Notamacropus eugenii: one gene and its partner. The protein of the gene in region 2 purifies or fractionates together with the protein of the main gene of each other region. This does not show direct contact. Links are inferred from orthologs where the notes say so. Each region holds a gene or a part of one and is shown on either strand. Other genes may lie near its edges.

Region 1 (10,302 bases), on a different chromosome or scaffold from region 2:
ACAGTTACAGAGACTGAGGCGACAGAAGTATGCCCAAGACCACAATTTGAACTTGAGTCTTCCTGACTCCCTGCTTAGTGTCCTATGCACTGCTGCCTAGGAACATAGCTGCCTCAAGAATGAAGAATATACATATGCACTTGAGGACAAAACTACATTTGGTATATAAGTAGGAAGGAAAGAGAATGAAGATCAGTGAATTAAGAGGGTAGGCAGATTAAGGGAGGGATCGTTCCTAAGCAAAACAAATTCAACTAAAGATGTACAAAAATATTTATGTCTTTTTGAAGTGTGAAAGAATGGGAATCTAAGAAGGTGTCCATAAATTGGTGAATGGCTGAACAAGTTATGTGCTGGAATAAATACAACTGTGCCAAAATAAATAATGAAAAGGATGGTTTCAGAGAAATCTGGAAAGATTTCTATGAACTGATGCAGAGTGAAATGAACAGAATCAGAACAATTTTCTACAGTGATAACAACGTGGTAAAGATGATCAATGCTGAAAGAACTAGGGTATAGGATCCATATAATGACCAACCATAATTCTCAAAGACTAATGATGAAAGATGCTCTCTACCTCCTGAGAGGTACAGGACTCAGAAAGAAACAGACAAATTTTCTGGACATGGCCAATGCATAAATTTTTTTTGCACATTTGTAACAGCAGTTTTTGTTTTCTTTTGTTCTCAATTGGGAGAAAGGGAATTCAGGTAATTTTTTGTGAATGTGCATGTATGTGTATGTATAATTTTAAAATTATCAATGTTCAGTGGGATAGAGGATCAATCAGGAAGTAGAGAGTAGCCTTGCTGCAGTGAAGGCTCAGGTGAGACTGGATAACAGATACATAGTTAGCACAGAGACCCAGCTAGCATAGTTTTGTGACTTTCTCCACTTCCATTCAGCAGCGCATGATGAGAAGCGAAGGAGGCTGATGATCCCAGTAACCTAGGGCTGTAGTTTGGTAAGACATGACTGGAAATAATAAATAAACATTAAGCAATTACTACGTACAAAGAAAGGCAAAAACAGGTTCTGATCTCAGGGAAATCACAATCTAAAGTGGGAGACAACATGCAAACAACTGTGTAGATACAACTCTATACTAGAATGGGTTGACAGCACAGTGGATAGACTGCTGGACATGGAAACAAGACCCAAGTTCAAATTTAGCCTCAGATCCTTATTAGCTGTATGACCCTGGGTAAGCCACAACTTCTGTTTGCCCATTTTTTCAACTGTAAAATGGGGATAATAACAGTATCTACCTCCCAGGGTTGTTGTGAAGATCAAGTGAACATCCAGCACGATGCCTGGCACATAGTACTGTATAAATGCTAATTCCCCCTCCCACAAGAGTAGAAATAGAAGGTAACCCAGAAGAATGACATTAGCAGAGAGAGAGATCAGAAAAGGCATCCTGGGGAAATGGAGCGTCATGGGCAGAAAGGTCAATGTAGATAGGTCATAGAATACATGAAGCAAATGCTAGTACATATATTCTTTTATTATAGAAAATATTATTTATCATCCTCTCATTCCTTTAGATTTAAACTTTAAATTTTAAAGAAAATAAAATGGATCCCCTGTGTATTCTATTCTAAACCTTTCAAGATGTCAGGAGAGTTGGCTCTTCATAAAACCCCAATAAGTACCCTAGGAGCTGGGTGTTCTAATGGTGTGCCAGGCTCTCTATAAGACATCACTTGGTACAATATCATCCTACAAGGGGTTGACACTGACAATTAAGAACTATTTTACAATGTGTGTGAATGTGTGTGAATGTGAATGCGCGTGTGTGTGTGTGTGTGCGTGTATTCCACAATCATTCCGGCAATCAGTAGTGTTAGCATTAACTCTGCCACATACAAAGGTACAGTTTATTTACATTCCACAGCACAGATAGAATGTCCACTTTTTAACTGACATTTAGTTTTTACCAGTTTTCTTCTACTCCCCAAATACTGTTTCCATTTCTGCTTTGTCATCTAAACATAAGCAAAGTGACAAAGTGACTCATTCAAGGCCGGAATAAACTTTAATTCAATTTTATGGACTCTCAAATGAAAAGCTCAAAGGAATAATTATACAACTGTTTAGGTTCTATTAAATTAAAATTTACAAAATTAAATTAAGAGAAACACCATATTGTCTTCTTTTCAGGGTTTGCTGGCTTTGAAAAACCTAGTTATCTTAATCCAATAAACAAGCCCTTACCCACAAAAGACACACCAATAAACATGTAAACAAATGTAAACAACGAGACAGCACAACCAATATGAGCAACGTTATTCAGAAGTCCCATGAAAATTCCCTTGAGATTCAATGACAGACTACTCACACTGAAAGGTTATTGCTCCTTCTTTCTCCCTTAAGTTAATTCTTCATGCAAAGAAAATACAAACTCTCACAGGTAGTCAGGAACCTCTACTACATAACAGTACTATGCATTGTTTGTTTGTTTTTTTATGTAAAAACTTTTTAATCCAATATAACCAAAATTATCCATTTTACAACTCGTAATGCCGTCTTATCTCATTTGGTCATAAATTCTTCCCTTCTCCACAGATCTGAGAAGTAAACTATTTCTTGGTCTCTTGGTCTCCTAATTTACTTACAGTATCACCCTTTATGTCTAAATCATGTACAATACAGTACTATGAATCCTGCTGCAGAGAAGGACCAACATTCCTTAGTCTTGTCTCCCAGAGTGGATGAAATATTATTCTTATATTTGTTTTCTAAATTTCACGCTTATTTCCTGTTTTCTATTCCCAGTATACATTCAATCACTTAGCAATTCTATCTTTAAAAAGAACATGTTTCTATTTTATCCAATTAGCCATAGTGGTTTTACATATCAAACCTGGAATAACAGAATGTCAAAACTGGAAAAGACACTTAAAGATAATATAGTACCACTTCCCTATTTTACTGAAATGGAAGAGGAGACCTGAAGAGGGGAAGTAAATTATCCAAAAATCACACAGAAGGTGAGCCAGATCCCCAGCATACCAACCTAGAACTTTTCCCACTACATCAAGCAAATTTAGGTAATTACTTGCAATTTTATTGACCCCCTCATCCCACCCTCATGTATCTCACTGTTCTTCACTAAATGGTCAGTTACTTGAAATCAGTTCTAAATCTGGTTTTAAAACTAGATAAGGATACAACTAGGCCTGGGAAGAACATTTACTGCCATACTAGACATCTACTACAAAGCTTGGCACATAATAAACACTTATTCATTCATTCATGCTAAACTGAAATGTCTCCCTGAGATCTTCAACATCTAAAGAATACTTATCTCTGTCTACTAAAGTGGTCACATAATGTTCTAACACCAGAAGCAAAATCTCAATATGGGCAGAATAGGAGAGTTCCATCAGGATAAATTCAGTGTAGCAGTAAAGTGTTCTGGACTGGGAGGCATATCGTCTCAGTTCTTGTCTTGGCTCTGACATGGACTCACTTTGTGAAGGCCACTAATCTGGGCCCTCCCCAAGGGGCACAATGAAGAGTTTCCTGTTAATTTTCCCTTAACCTTTAACATTCTATGAGTCTAAGGTTCCTCCCCCAGCTCTGAATTGTGTTTGTAGTGACAGGCTATCCTGCCTTTAAATCAAAAACAGAAAACAGGAAATCAGGATAACAGGAAAGGTACCTAATAAGCACTCCAGAGTCATTAACACCAGAAGGACCAGTCCAGTCAACTGATTTCCCTCTCCCCCCATACTATACTTTTATTTTGGAATTAACATTTTCATCCTACCATCTCTATTTTCTTTGCTTTCTAATTCGAAAAATATGTACTGAGTTAACTGATTCAGCTTGTTACTTCTAAGTATTCTTAAATTATGGTCCTTATAACGTTAAAAAAGAAAAACCAAGTGTCTGTAAGAAAGCAAAGAACCTCTTATAAATTCCTGATGTTAACTTCCCACATGAAGCAGCATCTCAACCTTCTACTTCCTAGAAGAGAAATTAAAAGCAGCACCACCAGACAGACTGTCCACTCCAAGATGTTTGGGTCCTAGGTCTTAAGCTCTTTAAATCCCCTTTCAGGACGGGGCAGTACTCGACACAGCGGGTACCGAATCAGTATTTGTAAAATAAAAGGATAAAAACCCAGAAGTCTTACTTCAGCCGACTTTGCCCTCGCTGCGTTCCACCCTCAAAGAACATAGGTCCCTAATCCCCAATCCTACCCTAAAATCTTTACCCAGGAAAACCTAGGTACGGAAGATCTGCAGCATAAAAGATGCCCCATCTCACCCGCAACAAACCCGGTAAGAGCTACCTCCAGAAATCCTACGTCTAGGTCCCGAAACCAGGGTACTCCCAGGCGCGGGCCGTCCACACCAATCCCCAAACCCTCTCCCGCGAGGCAGCCCCAGCTCCTCCCCCAAGCCGAGATACTGGGTCGCGGGGTCAGAGGGTCGTGGGCCCCGCCCCCGCCGTACGGACCGAAGGGAGCGCGCGGCCTCTCCTCCCAAGGAAGGGGCGGCCCTCAACTCAGCTCGGCCCCAGCCCTGTCCTCGTCTCGGAGCCACGCACCTGGCCGGCCACCGTCGCCGCTTACTTACCGAAGGGCTGCGTCCCCCGTACGAAGGGACTAAAAATCGTCCTCCTCCCGCCGCCGCCGCTCGGAACGCGCGCGGCCGCCACGAAACCGCCGCCGCCCCCGCCGCCGCCCGGGCCGCTCTGTGCGCGATGTCCGACTGCGTCACACGCCGGTTGTCGTCATAAGCGCGCCGCGAGCGCTTCTTTCTCTCCGCGCTGGCATTGGCCGTCGTGGCCGCCAGTCGACGGTGGCCCCGATGCTCATTGGCCAAGGTGTCGTTTGAAACCGAACGTGGATCGAACTTGGAGGGTGGGGGCGGGTTAAGGGCAAAAGAAATGAGGACGAAGGGATATGGGGAAGAGATGGGGGTGGGGGGAAGGAAATGGGCTGGGGATGGGGAAAGAAAAGGGTTGAATAGCGAGTGAAGGAGCGAGGAAGGGAGGGAGTAGTCCCGCCCTTCTCAGTCACCGCATTACGATTGGCTGGGAATGCACCCTTGCGTCACAGAAGGGAACCTAGAACCTGAGCGGGGAGGGGGCGGGAAAATTATGTCGCCTTCAGGCCCCGCCTTGTTGCAATCTTAGGTTGGGTTGGCGGAGGGAGCCAGTACAGTCTCTCCGTCGACCAATCAGAAGGAAGAGCACATCGGATGGCATGGCAACTCAGCCTTTGCTGCGGGGGCTTCTGGGAAAGTTCTTCTTAGCAGCTAAAGCCTACCCGTTTCCATTCCCCCACGACTTCCTAGGCTGTTACCATGTGCGTTGCCTAGGACAATTTACTAGCCCCGCCTCACTGAGGCGTGGGGATGCGGCGCTGGGGGCCAGTTCCTTTATTTTTCCTTTTCTCCTTCCTCATTCCTCTCTCCCCCCAGCACCACCGAGCCTTCTCCATACAGTGCCCAAAATTTGTGGTTCCTGGCATAAACCCATCCCGGGAATACTCACCACCACCCCGCCCAGGGTCACGAAGGAATCAAGAAAGGGAACAGGGAGCATCCTCTCACACCAAGGGGTCCCCACGACATACTCAAGTGCTGCTTCTAACTGAAAAAATCTCCCTGAAACTCCACCCCCACCCCCATTCCTCAACTACTTCAATCAGACTCAGAGGACAGATGTGAGGCACAACCCATGTGGACAAACATTAAGGGTTTACTGTGTGCCAAGCACCTACCCTGGAATGTATGAGGGCATCTACAAGGTCTTGGAATTGAAAAGATTTGGGGCACCCAGCCTATCCTCCCCAAGAGGAACCCTCAATCAGTGTGTGTATTTCCGACCCCATCCCATTCACACATAGTGCAATTTGTTCATTCAATAGCTCACATGTACCTAATGCTTTAAGGTTTTCTAAGTCCTTTTGCAAAATATATTTTATCTCATTTTGGCCTCACGAGAATCCTGTGAGGTAAGTACTGTTATTCCCACTATACAGATATGAAAACTAAGGCTCACAGAGTTGTGACTTGCCCAGCTGGTTGGTTGGTTGGTTGTTGTCCTTCATTCTCAAAAAGGACCAAAATGACATCACCATGATAAAGTGAAGTTTCAGTGGGTCTGACTATGGCTGATCAGACCAATATGAGCTTGGAATGCTCTACCACAGATTGGGCACAAATAGTCCATGTGGATATTTGGGGTGGCTACTCCAAATTTGTGCATCCTATGTTTCCTTTGTGCTGTCTCAATTCTGCTTTGCTCATAGAGCACAACACCCTTTCTGATGTGGGCACGCCATGTTGAGCAGTCCTGTGCCAATGTCTCCCATGTTGCATAGTTCTTGAGAGAGACCTTGAGAGTGTCCTTGTATCCCTTCTTCTGATCACCATGCGATCGCCTGCCTCGTGTGAATTCTCCATAAAATAGTCTTTTTGGCAACCCTACATTTTACATTTGAACAATAAGGCCAGCCCATCAGAGTTGTGCTCTCTGAAGCATAGTTTGAATGCTTGGTAGTTCAGCTCAAGCAAGGACTTCTGTCTGGTACCTTATTCTGCCTGGTGATCCTCAGAATCTTCCTAAGACAGCTCACTTGGAAGCAATTCAGTTTTCAGGCATGGCACTGGTAGACTGTTTCACAGGCATACAACAATGAAGTCACCACAACTCCGTAGACCTTCAGTTTGGTAGTCAAGTTGCCCAGCGAGTAATTATCTGAATGCAAGGTCTTCCTGAATGCAAGAATAGTACTGTATCTTCTATACATTCAAGAAATATTTGTTGGCTCAGGAAGACAAAATCAGGTCTACAAGAGAGTTAAGATTCCAAACTGTAATGTTAATTACATGATAAATGAATTAGAGAACTACAAAACAATATGTTATGTAAAGTCTGCTGGGAAATCAGGTTGATCAAGGTTGATCTTCTTGGAAGAGGTATGGCTTTAGAATTAGGTTTTGGGGGCTAGCTAAGAATTAAATAAAGAGGGGATGACAGGGCATGCCAGACATAATGAACAAGGAGAGAGCATAGTGTGTGTTTGCAAAGCAGACTCATCCAGGATGGCAGGAACATAGAAATTAATATGACATCAGGTTAGAAAGGTATGGTTACACTCAAATTGTGGAGGGGTTTGAACTTGGGAGGCAATATGTAGCCACTGAACATATCTGGGGAGATTTTCTGTATAGAATTGTTATTCTGGAAATAGCATGGGGTGAGAGTGTTTAATAAATAGTCCTGGAGGGTAGCAATGGGGACCACTACTGGAATAATGGCAAAAGAAATAGAGAAAGGAGAATAAGTTTAAGAAATGTGCAGATAGAATCATCAGGACTTGATAATAATTAGATTTGAAGGGAGGGAGGGAGTCAAGACTTAGGATTTCATTGGGATAAGAAATTTAGCCAGTTAGGAGGAATCTGCCCTTACCTATGTAGATCTGGGAATTGTTCCACAACTTACATATAGTCTTAGAAAGCTGCCTGGAACACTGAGAAGTCAAATAACTTCACAGGGCCACACAGTTAGTTTGTGTCAGAGGGTAGGCTTGAATTTAAGTGTTCCTGATGCGAAAGTGGGCTCCGTATTGATTACACCATGGTGCCTAACTAAACTGGATTTGGGAAATAAAAAGGAGGAAAGGATCAAAGTTAACACATAAGTTTTGAAAATGGGAAACAGTGAATATCAAGAGGAATGAATGAATTGAATCAATTAAAAAAAAAAACCATTGGTTAAGGCTTTTGTTAAAGTGCCAAGCATTTTGGTAAGCACCAAGGGTACAAATACAAAAGCAATGACAGTCCTCAGGGAGCTTACATTCCAAGGGTGGTAGCCAGGCTGGAACACTTTGGTTCAGAAAGTTAAGAAGATGGTGAGTGGGGACTCTAGGGAGTAGATTGACATTCCCCAAACAGAAAAATGGCAGAGCAGATTTAATCATGGTTCTTCCTTACTGAACAGGAATTGGGAGGAGAGAGTGAAGTGAATCATGGCTGGGGCTTTCCTGAATCTTGTAGTCCAGGAGGTCCAGTCACCAATTAAGAGAGCAGACTTTGGAGCAGAAGTCTCATACATAGGGTCTGTAGGTGATCTGAGAGGAGGGAATGAAGTGAAAGCTGGCTAGGGTTTTCCTAGAAAATGGGGAGTTTAGAAAAGGATGAGCTCAATTTGGGGCAGGTTGAATTTGAAGTGTAGATGGAGCATCAAGGTAGAATAGTCTGGAAGGCAGCTGGAATACTATTCTGGAGTTCAGAAGAAAAGCTAGAACCTGAGCTCTGTAGACTTGAGTCATCTGCACAGAGGTAGAAGTGGAAGCTATGAGAGTAAATGAGATTGCTAAAGCAGATACTGGTAATAATTAGTATTTACATAAGGTATGTTTCCAAAGTGCCTTACAAATATTTCATCTTCATAACAATCATGGGGATTAGGTGCTATTATAATCCCTATTTTACCAATGAGAAAACAGGTAGAAGTTAAAAGACTTTCCTAGGGTCACATACCTAGAAAATATCCAAGGTCAGATATGAGTCTTCAGGTCCAGCATTCTAATGATTCTTGGCTTAACGCAGAGTAGGTGGTCAAAGATAGACTCATAGGGAACACCTATGTTAAAGGGTCAGGAAAAGGATCAGGAACCAACAAACTCAAAACTTAGAAAAATAGAACCAGGAGAGTATGAAGTCAATGAAGCCAAGAGAGGAGAAAGTATTCAGGAGGAGGATGTGGTCAGTGATGTCAGAAGTAATAGATCAAAGAGGACAAAAATCTGAAAATAAAATCACTGGATTTGGCCTTTAGAAGGCAACAAATCATAAGATTTTAGAATTAACCGTGCTTTTAGAGTCCACCTGCTTTCTCATCTCTTCCTCCTGGTTTTCCTGACTTCTTCTTTTAAGGCTCAGTTCAAATTCCAGTCTTCATTCTGAGATTACCTTTCATTTATTCTGTATTTGTCGTATACATGTTTACATGTATACATCTACATATTTACAGTGTTTCTCCCATTAGAGGATGAACTCCTTGAAGGCAGGAACTACATTTTTTCCTTTTTTAGTATCCCCAGGGCTTATAAATACTTTGCTTCTCAACCTGGCAGACTAACTGCAGGGAGAAATGTGATAGGATAGGTTAGATGCCAGAGAGAAAAGAAATGACTGCCTGTTTTCCCTAATAGATTCTGGAAGAAGACAAAAGGGGTGGGACTACAGTAGAGGAGTTAGCCTTGAAGTAGTCTTGTTAGTATTATTATGGAACCATTAAGAGGTTTACTTAGACCTAGTTCTTTTCTGGTGTCCTGAATGGGCTCTGGCCTACATTAAGACAAAGCCAGAACACCTGGAACCTGCTGAAGGAAAAGGAAATGTTTTCTGGGCTCTAGGTTAGGGAGATTGAATCTAGAGAATAAATATTTGATTAGGGAAGGTAGTTTCCTGGAGGGATTATTCTACATACAGACAGCTGAGTCCCAGATTATCATAGTAGATCCTGTCTCTTTTTTGTTTCTGTTTTTGTTTATATTTGGGGGGGGGGGGGGGGGGCTGACTCCTGCATTCCCAGGGCTAAATTAAGGTATAAGGCGCCCTCTCCTGGACCACACTAAGCTCTTTGGCACCAGAAATGGCTAGGAGGGACTTGTGGCTCAAAGCTCTCCCTATGCCTGGGCAAACAGAAATTAGTTCGCATTTATTTTGTCTGTATGTAGTATGTACTTAGATATATCCATACTGTCTCCCAGGAGAGAAGACGTAGTCCTAGAAGTCAGTGACTGATTTTGGTCTTTGTATTCTCAGCATTTAACTCTGGGCTTTGCACATAGTGGCTGCTTAATAAGTACTTATTGATGGATTGGTAGATATCCTTTTCCTCAGCTACCAGTGGTGTTCCCATACCCCTTTCGCGAAGTATCAAGGTTTCCGATCTCTGCTGGGGAATAAGGAGCTAGGTGTCCTGATTTCTGCTCTGAGGAAAGGACTGGATTCCTCATCTCTGCAGTGGAGAACACAGATTGAGGTTCCCAGTCATTTTCAGACGAAACAGGGGCGCTCTTGGGGTTTTGCTGGAAGGACAAGGGCCAGATTGCTGATTTCTGCCCTCCGGGGCTCGGGGTCTGCCCAGGTCTAGCTCTGGCGCGGGAGAGAGAGCTACTGTGGCAGACCCGAGGGAGAGAAGTTTGGGCTGCAGAGTGGGTTTAGGGTCACAGAGAGGTGGGTAGGAGAGTAATAAGGGGAAATGGGGGTTTTGAAGAAGTGGGAAGGTAGAGAGGGGGCGCACAGTCAGGTGTTGCCT
Region 2 (10,302 bases):
AAATCAGAGGCCCTGGATTCTCTCTTGACCTCAGTTTTCATCATCCATAAAATGGGAGGGGGTTTGGCTTAGATGACCTTTAAAGTTCCTTTGAGTTCTCAATCTATGATCTGATGTGTCTGCTTAAAAAAGGCTGGGAACCACTGATCTAGTCCATCCCCTTTAATTTACAGATGAGGAGACAGAAACCCAAAGACATGCTGACCTGCTCAGGTACTAAGGGGTAGAGGTGGGACTAAATCCATGCTTCCTGCCTCCCAGGAGGCAGAGGTAAACAGAGCAGTCACACCATTCTCCTGGGATCCTAGGTTTAAAACTTGTATAATCCATGATTCTTTCTCTCCCTTATTCCTTCTCCCTACATGCCTAATTGGTTGCAAGGTCTTGTCCACTCTATTCCATACCTCTCCCACCTTGCCCCTTCTCTCCACCCTAATAAGGCTCTCATCACTTCTTACCTGTCCTATAACAATAACAATCTCCCAAATGGCGCTTCTTTTCAGTCTCTCTCCTCTCTAACTCATACTAAATGTGGCTGGCAAAATCATACTCCTAAGGTCTGACCACGCTACTTACTTATTCAAAAATCTTCAGTGGCTTTCCATCATCTCTTGGATAAAATAAAAACTCCTCCCCTTGGCCTTTAAGGTCTTCCACAATCTGGCCCCAACAGACTGGCAGCCTTTTTTCATATTACTTCCCTCCATAGGGTAGATGTTCCTGGATAACCTTCTGTTCACCGATCTTGGTGGAATGCTGTTTCCATGCCATGCCTTTGCACAGAGGGCTGCCTCTCATGTGTGGGGTATAACATGCCCTCATCTGTGCTCCTCATAACCTGTCCTTCCCTTCTGGCCTCATCCCAGGGTCTTCTCTGTGCAGCCTTCTCCAGCCCTCCTGGTTGTCAATGCTCTCTCCCTCCTGTCTAGTCTTTACTTATCAGTATATATGCTGTATCTAAAGCCTTGGAGGGCAGATTGTTTCACTTCTGTCTTTGCACCTTCAGTGTTTAAAATATAGCATATGTATTATTTTTTTAAAAAATTTAACTAATTTGGTTTCAGTTTTTTACAGTCACTTCCATAAGTTTTAAATTTTCTTCCCATCCCTCCCTGAGACAGTTTGCAATCTTACATGAGTTCTACACATACATTCTTATTAAACACATGTCTTATTAAACCAGATTGCCACAATGTCTCATAGGTTCTACTGCTTTGACCCAAAGAGAGGCCAACCTCCTCCTTATCAGTCTCTACATTCTCCTGTACCAGAGGGTTTCAAATCCCAGGCGGATGTTCTCCTTTTGGTTTATTGGGTTAATAGCTCGATGTGAGCACAGTAAAAGAACTGATAATTAAGCTACGACTAGATTGATTTTTACTACCACTGATAAATACAATTCAATGAAGGGGAAGACTAGAGAATTTACAAGATCTGGTCCTAGCAGTCTATCAATGGTACTTTGTTTTGCTTGTATTTTTAAAAATTACGAACTTAGAATTTCAATTACAATTCAGAAAACCAAGAACCCTCCTCCTTCCCCTCCTCAATTGTCTGAAGTCACATTATCCAATTTCTTTGTGCCTCATTTTCCCCAACTGACTAACTCCTACTTTATCAATCAGAGGAATTAATTGAGTTATGGACATTATTCCAATGAGGCCATTTCCTTTAAAGAGGTTCAACTAATGCTGGAATTACTTTGGGCAAAACAATGCTTTTAAAGGCAGAGATATGCTCTGTAGGATAATGGCCTCCTCTCCATCCTCTCTGAAAAACACATAAGATTCTGATAAAATCTGGATTGTTACTTCATTTTCCAAAGTCTACTGCATAAGATACAAGCAGCAAAATTATTCCCCCTAGAATTTTCTCAATGTTGGATATACTCACCCCCTCAGGTCGGCAATGAGAATCTGACCCCCATTCCGCACATCAAAGATTTTGACAGATCTATCTGACGAGCAGGTGGCCAAGCGGGTGCCATAATAGTCCATCTGGGCATCATGCTGAACATGGAAGAGAGAAATCAGGAGATTTGTAGACTCCAGAGGCTCACACCCATTATTACTAAGGCAGGGATTGTAAATTTGAAAAAAACAAAAACACTGCTCAAGTCAATTCAGTCCCAGAGAAAACTGAAGAAAGGAAGTCAGTTTATACTACGTGAAGATTATAAGTTGTGTTCTCCAATATAAAATGTTCTTAAATTGAGAAAATAAGTTAAAGACATAGCTAGTGTTAAATATTTAAAGTCCCCTTTACACCTTGTCAGTTGAATACATAGTTGTATTTTCTTAGTATGTATCACGACCCCACCACAGGTAAGCTCCTGGAGGGCAGACCCTGTCTTGTTCACTTCTGTATCCCCAGTATCTGTATCGAGCACACAGGACGTAAATTCTAAATGTGCAATAATTGTTCTTTTATTCCTTCTTCCCACAATCTTAACCACCCATATACCTCTGCTGTTCTTTTCCCAGAAAATATTTCAGATACCTTTACCACATACACTGGCTGCACTGTTGATTTGGACCACAGGAATTTCAAGCAACTTTCTGCTTCCTGTAATGACTAGGTTTATTAGACTAATTGAGCTTACTTATTTCATACTAACATTCTGCCCAGTCATTTACTTTCCAAATTCCTACTGAAGCTGGATCATAGGATAGCTCTAAAGTATTAAAGGAAAGTATTCTGATTCCTCTTTAGGAGATCAAGGCCCAATCCCTTGTTTTCCTCAGGTTCTGGCCAAATTTGGATCTCTAAGTCTTAGTGCTGTATTTTCTCCTTTCTGACAATTGCTTCTTAACAACTCAAGATGTGAAACACTTTCAAAAGAAGATCTGCAAAAAGAAAAGCCAGCTGCCAATCACTCTGTGGCCCAGTAAACAAACTGTTGAACATTAGGATGGAAAGTAACAACTGCCTCTATACCAGGAGTTCTCAACCTGAGTTTGTAAGCTTTCACCTGTAATTCAATATAACTGGGTTCCTTTGTAATGTTGCATATTTTATTTGATGCATTTAAAAGTATTATTTTGAGAAGGGGTCCCTAGGCTCCTTTACCAGACGACTGCCAAAGGGGACCATGACACAAAAATGCTTAAGGACTCCTACTCTATGCTGACACAACAGTCTCTCAAACAACAGGGGCATTTCCGAAGAGGACTTGTTACTCTAACAAAGGCTGGATGTGGTCTTCTAATGGCTAAATACTAGAGGTTTGGCAAATTCTCAAAAAAAAAAAACCCAAGCCATTTTGATTTATAAACACATCAAAACTGCGTAATTGAAAATAAAAACTCTGCCATCCCACAGGAATGTCAGTTTCAGATTTAAGTAATTGCTAAATGGAATACTCACAATCATGTCCTCGTGGGAGGTATCCACAGTGTTAATGACCGACACCTAAAACCAAAGATTACATTAAATTAATAATGGCAATTATAAAGCAACCTCTTCAGGAACCCGATCCATTATTTCCATCTAATGGTCTCCTATCCTTGCAAAATTTTCTCAGTATAAACTTCAACAATTATAATCTATGGTCCCTTTCTACATCATTAAGCTTCTGCAGCACTTTCTGTACAAATTGGATTAGACCCCTTTACTCTCCAATTTTGGGCCACAATCCTCCTGGAACTGCTACTTAACATACCATTTCTGACAGAGTGAAGTCATCCATCTAACACTGGAGTATATCTGTGTGATAAGTAGTCTGTAGAGCACATATGGATTATGATGACTACTAGATGCTAGGGCTCCGGATGCTATTACCATAGTTTTCTGCCTTTGTAAATTCTATTCATTGTTCTAGTGCAACTGAAGATCCTACCGCTCTAGGCAGCCTTCTCAGGCCACCCTCACAGAATAAAAGAGAGCTCGGCCTCCTGGGAATTCCAAGGGCGCAGTCTGCCTCTTGCAGAGCTTGAGACATCTTGCCTTATGTGCATTAGCCTATAAGCTGTCAGCATTCTCTTCATTTGTAATTACTTTGTGTTTTACATTTGCCTATTTACATGCATGTTGTTTCTCCTCCCCTTAAAAAAAAAAAAGGTATGCTCCAAGGGGCAGTAACTTTTTTCTTTTTTTTTGTCTTTTTATCCTTAGTTCCACACAATGCCTGGCCCACAAGTTCTTAATAAATGCTTCCTGAATTGAATGGAATTTTGCACTCCCCTGCAAATTCTTTGTGGCAGAGTCTGTGTAAAGCACTTTGTAACCACAAAGTGTTACGTATATAGCAATTATTATTATCAATGGGTTACGTTTGTCTGTTGCCAAAGAAGACCATGCCATCAGAGAAATGATGACATGACTTGCACTTGACTTTGTTTTGAGGGAGGGAGGGCTGTGCAGGTCACAAGCCTCACTTCTCCAGAGCTGTCTGGATCCAGTGACCAGATATTCGTCAGGATGACCCAGGATGTACTGGAAGACCTTGGCCCCTATGCAGGTACTCACTTAGGGTGAGGTAATGCCCATTCATAATGGACTACCAATATGAACACGTGAAGCACTGAAGCATGGCCAATATTATAATTCTATGAAAAGAGTAAAATTATGTATTTAGGTGTGATATGGATATTTTTTATAACTTCAACAATTTCAACTTTTCCTGTTTAAATCGCTAGAAAAATATTACAAGATTTGGTATTCTTCACTTCAGAACAGTAAAGGCAAGGACTGGATAGAGGGGTAGTACCAAGTAGCTGAATGGAGTGAATATATTTTTGTTTACCAAATTAAAAAAAAAATCATTCGTAGGGGCCACCTCTTGAAGCTTACAAGAGGGAACTGTAGAACAAATAAAACACATATTCTATAAAATAAATTGTCTTGGCTCTGGGCTTTCTCTTCTGGCTGTTGCCCCATGCCTGGGATGCTCTCCCTTCTCTGCTTTTACTACCGACCTTCCTGGCTTGCTTTAAGTCGTCATTAAAAATTCCACCTTCTACAGAAAGCCTGTTAAGGTTAAATTATGAACGTCCAGAGTTTATTCCTAACCTCTGTAGCATAACTGAATGCGGGGAGAGGAGAGAACAAGGACCACTTTCCCCCTAAAAGTTCCAGGGGGAAACCCACCTCGGAGGTACAACGTTCCTCAGGATGAACCGTAGCTGGTATCAGTATGACAAAAGGGATCTGCTTCCTAACCCAATCAATCGTTTGGACTTTGACAAACACCACGTGGCAGGGCTCACTCAGGAGCAGAATCCTCGATTAGGGTTTGAGGTGACTTCGGAGTCCAAAGCTGGACCGCCTGCGAGGGCAGGGTGATTTCGGGGCGCCGTGCGCCCCTACTGTCCATTATAACTGACTCTTCCCTTGTCACGCACAGCGCTCCCCCTTGGGTTCTGGCCGGTGTCCCCCGAGTTCGGCTCGGGTTGCACTAGGACTTTTGGGACACCTCTCTAACTGCCGTTTACAGCGGGCACCACCCCGGGGGGCGCCTGGACTTGGGCCACAAAAGCTCCGAGGCCGCGATTTCTCCTCCCCCTCCCCACAAATCCGGGACTGGCCCATTTCCGCCTCTCCTTGACCGCTGACAGGCGGACTCCGACCCCAGGGCGGCCTCCAGGTCTCCGAGGTCCGCACTAAGGCCGGCTCCACGAAGGGGCGACCAGCCACGTCTCCGCCCCACCCCGGCGAAGTGACCCGCGAAGAGCAGGGCGGCCCGGGGGGGCTGAACCGAACTGGAGGCCGCTGCCCGGGATGGGGGGCCGGTCGCTAGTCGCCCCCATGGTCGGCCCGGGGTAGAAGCCAGGCTGGCTGGGCCCCGGGGGTGGGTGGGTGGGTGTGAGGGAAGCAGCGTCCCTCGGACCCGTGCCCTGTCTCCCGCCTCGGGTCTGCGCCGGGGGCTCCCCTAGCCCGGCTCGCAGAGCACAGGGCTCTTACCATGGCGGCGGCGGAGGCGGCGGTGGTTCCCGGCTTCGGACGTGGCAACTCCTCCCGGCTGCAGCGGCGGCGGCGGCGCCCAGGACGGGTCACTTCCGGTGCCGCTGTCAGCGCGTAGAGGGGACGGATCCGGCCTTGTCCGCCGCGGGAGACTTCCGGAGAGGAAACGCAGCCGTCGCGCAAACGTTCCGAGGCATCTTAGGTCGGTGCCCCTCTTGCCGCGCAGGCGCAGAAATTTCGGCGCGTGCCGCGGGCCCGAGCATCTTGATTCCTCTCTCCTGCTCTTATGGGATAATCGATAGAGCTGAGGAGGGAACCTAACGTCCATCCAGACCACCCCTCTTACTTTATCGGGGAGGAAACTGAGTTCAGAGAGATGAAGGGACTTGCCTAAGGTCACGCAGTGACTGACGCGGGATTAGAACCCGGGTCTTCCCGACACTTCCAGGGCTCTTTCCACCACGTTCTGCCCCTGCCCAGGTGGCGGCCTTCCCCGGTCCTGAGACCGTCCCTTCTAAGTGCCCGCTACCGGCGGGGCACGTGCCACCTACCGGCGGGGCACGTGCCTCCGGTGCCGAGCTCGGGGCCCTGGTGCTGGCCAAGGACGCCGGGGTGGCCCCATCTCGTGCCACCCCCTCCCGGGGCTGTGAGGAGGGCCGAAGCCCGTGCCAACACGTGGCTGGGCAGCCACGCTCGGGTCCGCGGTCTTCACCCCTTCCAGCCGGGGCGCCCTCGGTGCCGGCTCCTGGTCCACAAGGACCCGCTTCGCCCCCGCCCCTCGCGGTACGGTGAAGACCCAGGGGAGACGTGGGCAAAGCCAAGCAAACCTGGCCTTGGGCCTCGGGCCCGCGTGCTCTCCCCCAGCCGCAGCATGCTGCCCCCTCCTTTCCCTCTTTCACTCCTTCTTTTCTTTCTCCCGAGCTCTCCTTCCTTTCCTGATCCGCTCCTTCCAGCGTGTTAAGTTCCTGGAGGTCAAGACCTTGTGCCAGGCGCCGTGCCCGTACCCACAGGGAGCTTTCACGAAGCTAGTTTCACAGGTTTCCTGTCTTTAAGGGGCATAAACTCTCCGACAATAGGAACATATTGTTATTCAGTCAGTGCACGTGGGGGCTAGAGATGATTTGGGATACAAAAAAGGGAGAGAAGGATTGTAGGGAGAAATAAGAAAAAGAGGGAGGATCCTAGAATTTTAGGGCTAGAAGGGACCTTTCAGAGCTTGCTGTCTAGTTAGTGTGTTGTGGGAGGGTGGGTGTGGGTGGAGGCCCCACCTTCCCTTAAAACATGACAAGTAAGGCAGTATTCAGCCAGGATAGTATACTGGAATTAGAATCAGGAGGATTTAGGATCAAAATCCTAGTTCAGACACTAACTTTAGGATCCTGGGAAAATCATTTAATCTCTGAGATCCAGTTTCTTCATTCATAAATTAACAATATTATAGTACCTACCTATCAGGGTTGTCCTTGAGGGTCAAATGAGATAAGCTATTTATTATAACTATAATATATTGTGGGATCCTCCAACCTCACCTTGAGCACCATTAAAATATTTGGGGATTCTCAGCAGTATCACACTCAAATAGAAATGGATCTGTGGCTGCATATTGATTTAGACAACCACAAATTAACATATGTTGAATTGTATTTTTATTTTGTCAGATATTTCCCAGTTGCATTTTAACGTTTTCACTGTAACTCAGGAGTTGGGTGGTGAGTTTGCTACCTCTGCTCTAACCCCCTACATCATCAAAGCCATTCTCAATTTAGGAAGCTACCTTTACGTGAAATTTGACAAGTGAAAAAATCCTAGAACCTTGGAAATACTGGGCCACTACACTCGACCATAAAATGAAATGACAAGGAGATGATCGCAGCTAATAGACTGTGAAGGAGGGGAGGTATACATGTATATGTGTATGCATGTTTTGGGGTGGGATAGGATTGGAAAATGAGACTAAGGGCAAGAATTAAGAGAGGACAAGAGCATCTGAGAGAGGAGATTATGCCTTGAGAGGAAATAGATTTTGAGAGAAGAAACCAGACCATACGGAAGGAAAAAATTCTTGAAGAGGAATATGAGGCTGGAGGAAGGATAATACAAGGCCTTGAGATTAGAGATCCTACTTTGAGAGAAGTCCTGGGAGAGGTGAGATGTCCCCTCCTTCCCCTTCCCCCACACCCCCCTCAAAAAAGAGAACGATCCTACTTCAATAGAATTGGCTAGAGATGCTAAGGTAATGAAGGCATCGAGGCTGTTTCAGGTTAGGCTCCATTGTGCGCTTGAGCCATGGTCCAGGATCTGGTCCTTAGACTTGAAACTGAAGAAACTTGATTTCACCATCTAGGACTGATCAGGCTTTAGAGAATTGAATTTCAGGAATCTAAACTCAGTAACAGGCTCTAGAGAATTGAATTGCACCAATCCAAACTCAGAAAGGGACTTACTTAGAACTGCAAATGACAATGGATTAATTTACTAATTAATGGGAAATATATGTGGCTCAGAACTCAGGTTAGATGTTTGTATAGAGCACCCTTTTCCTAGTGGGCAATTCCCATCCGGAAACAGAATTATAGACCACAGAATTTCTTACAGAATTAGGCCAGTGGAATTCAGATGTCTTTAGGCAAGGTACAGTAGAAATAGCAGCAGATTTAGAGTTAGAAGACCTGACTTTAAATTCTAGATCTACCACTTGATGTTCATGTGAACTAGGGCCAAGTCATCAAAACTCTTTGGGCCTCAGTTCCCTTCTTTTAAAAAGAGAGAGTCAGACTAATGACCTCTGTATTTCCTTTTAACTAGAAATCTATGATTTATATTGCAATCAAGCTAGGTAGTCTGATGAATGGGGCAGTTGGGTGGTGCAGTGGATAGAGCACCAGGCCTGGAGTCAGGAAGACCCATCTTCCTGAGTTCAAATCTGCCCTCAGACACCAAGTAGTTGTGTGGCCCTGGGCAAGTTTGCCTCAGTTTTCTCATTTGTAAAATGAACTGGAGAAGGAAATGACAAATCACTCCAATATCATTGCCAAGAAAACCCCCAAAGAGTTGGACGTGACAAAAACAACCAAGTCTGATGAATTACTTTCCTGAATCTAGGGGTTACTGATCTAGAATCAGCACATGTTTCCTTGGATAGAATTAGAGATCTTTACTTTCCAGATCTCCAGTTCTTTCCTTCTGAGATTCCATAAAATTAGGACTCTGATTGTCCTCTTCTTTACAACCAAGGGACCAGAACATACCAAGGTTCAGGTGAATTTTCATTTTGTGAGAAGACTAACTTGGGTCAAGTGAAGGGGAAGGAATAGGTAAGATGTTTGGAGACACTACTCTGGTAGTTTGTGACTCTACCCTTGGGGGCCTCAGCATCCTTGAATGGATGGGCACCCACATCCCCTTACTTATTGCTTTAAGCTCTCTGTCATGGTGAAGGTTCAGCCATAATTCTTTTTTAAAACATCTTCTTGCCCCAGGTTCCCTAAGATTTCCATGGACCTGCATGAAATTCTTACCTTCTTCCTTAAGCTGATTTTGGAGCTGCAGAGAGGGAATGTGAAAGGAGAGTAGAAAGAAAAGGAAGCTCAAGGTAGGTGATGGTGGAATGTGATGATATGTTCAAGGTAAAGAGAATGGCCAGAAACAGGGCTAACATGTGAGTGTGGTGATGGGCAGGGCTTAGTTTGGTAGTCAGTAACCTGGAGAATTTTGCTTCCCTTACCTAATGGGATCTGACTTTCGGTATTGGAAACCCTTCCCTATGTTCTCTCCCTCAAACTTAAAGTTTCCCAGTCAAATGATTGATAAACTAATTAATAATAAAATGTTAATGGCTGATAATGGATTATTGTGTTAACCAATTCACAATACTATAAAATTTTAGGCTATGATTGGAGAGATTTGGGGCAGAGTGACACATTGATGTTCTTTCTCTGCATAGGGCCAACCTTGCATGGCATTATCTAGAGTCTCTTTTGAGTCTCTATTTACATTAAATATTAAAGTAGAGTCAGTAAAAACAAAACAAAACAAAACAAAAGCAAAACCAAGTGAGTTTGAAGCTTCCGAACCTAATTTTGATGGCTGTTTCTTTCATTGCTGTATTGTTCTTTTGCCAGTTAATCCTTGTATCTTGAATCTGTAAAGAGAAAAATATTGGGAACAAGCGGTGACCTTTTGGCATCTTCCCTTTTCCCATTTTTCATTTTTAGCTTCATTCCCCCCAGGATAGCATCTAATTATTTCTTGAATAATCATGTCTCATGGGTTCTTAGGAAATTTGAGAAGTTTGCTCCTATTATGTATTCCAAATTAGTTTCTCTTCAGTTTTTGTGCAGTTTTTTTCTGGTCTCTTCATCTCAGTTAGGCTAAAATTAGTTCCATGAATTGTGTGCTAAA

Evidence for each region.
Region 1: the proteins of SEC13 (region 2) and NUP98 purify together in Homo sapiens (affinity purification with mass spectrometry; 4 studies listed by BioGRID and IntAct, counting the BioPlex papers as one, with this or other methods). This does not show direct contact. The link is inferred for Notamacropus eugenii from reciprocal best matches to the Homo sapiens genes SEC13 and NUP98.

What each region holds. Positions count from the first base shown.
Region 1 is NC_092876.1:96,312,788-96,323,089, reverse strand, and holds the start of NUP98 (nuclear pore complex protein Nup98-Nup96), read right to left. Parts: upstream 4,739-10,302; 5' UTR 4,593-4,738; intron 4,434-4,592; exon of another isoform or gene 4,307-4,433; intron 1-4,306. Other genes in the region: PGAP2 (post-GPI attachment to proteins factor 2), read left to right, coding at 10,246-10,302. UniProt on the Homo sapiens protein: Plays a role in the nuclear pore complex (NPC) assembly and/or maintenance. NUP98 and NUP96 are involved in the bidirectional transport across the NPC. May anchor NUP153 and TPR to the NPC.
Region 2 is NC_092874.1:435,214,663-435,224,964, reverse strand, and holds the start of SEC13 (protein SEC13 homolog), read right to left. Parts: upstream 6,066-10,302; 5' UTR 5,905-6,065; coding exon 5,902-5,904; intron 3,412-5,901; coding exon 3,367-3,411; intron 2,010-3,366; coding exon 1,894-2,009; intron 1-1,893. UniProt on the Homo sapiens protein: Functions as a component of the nuclear pore complex (NPC) and the COPII coat. At the endoplasmic reticulum, SEC13 is involved in the biogenesis of COPII-coated vesicles.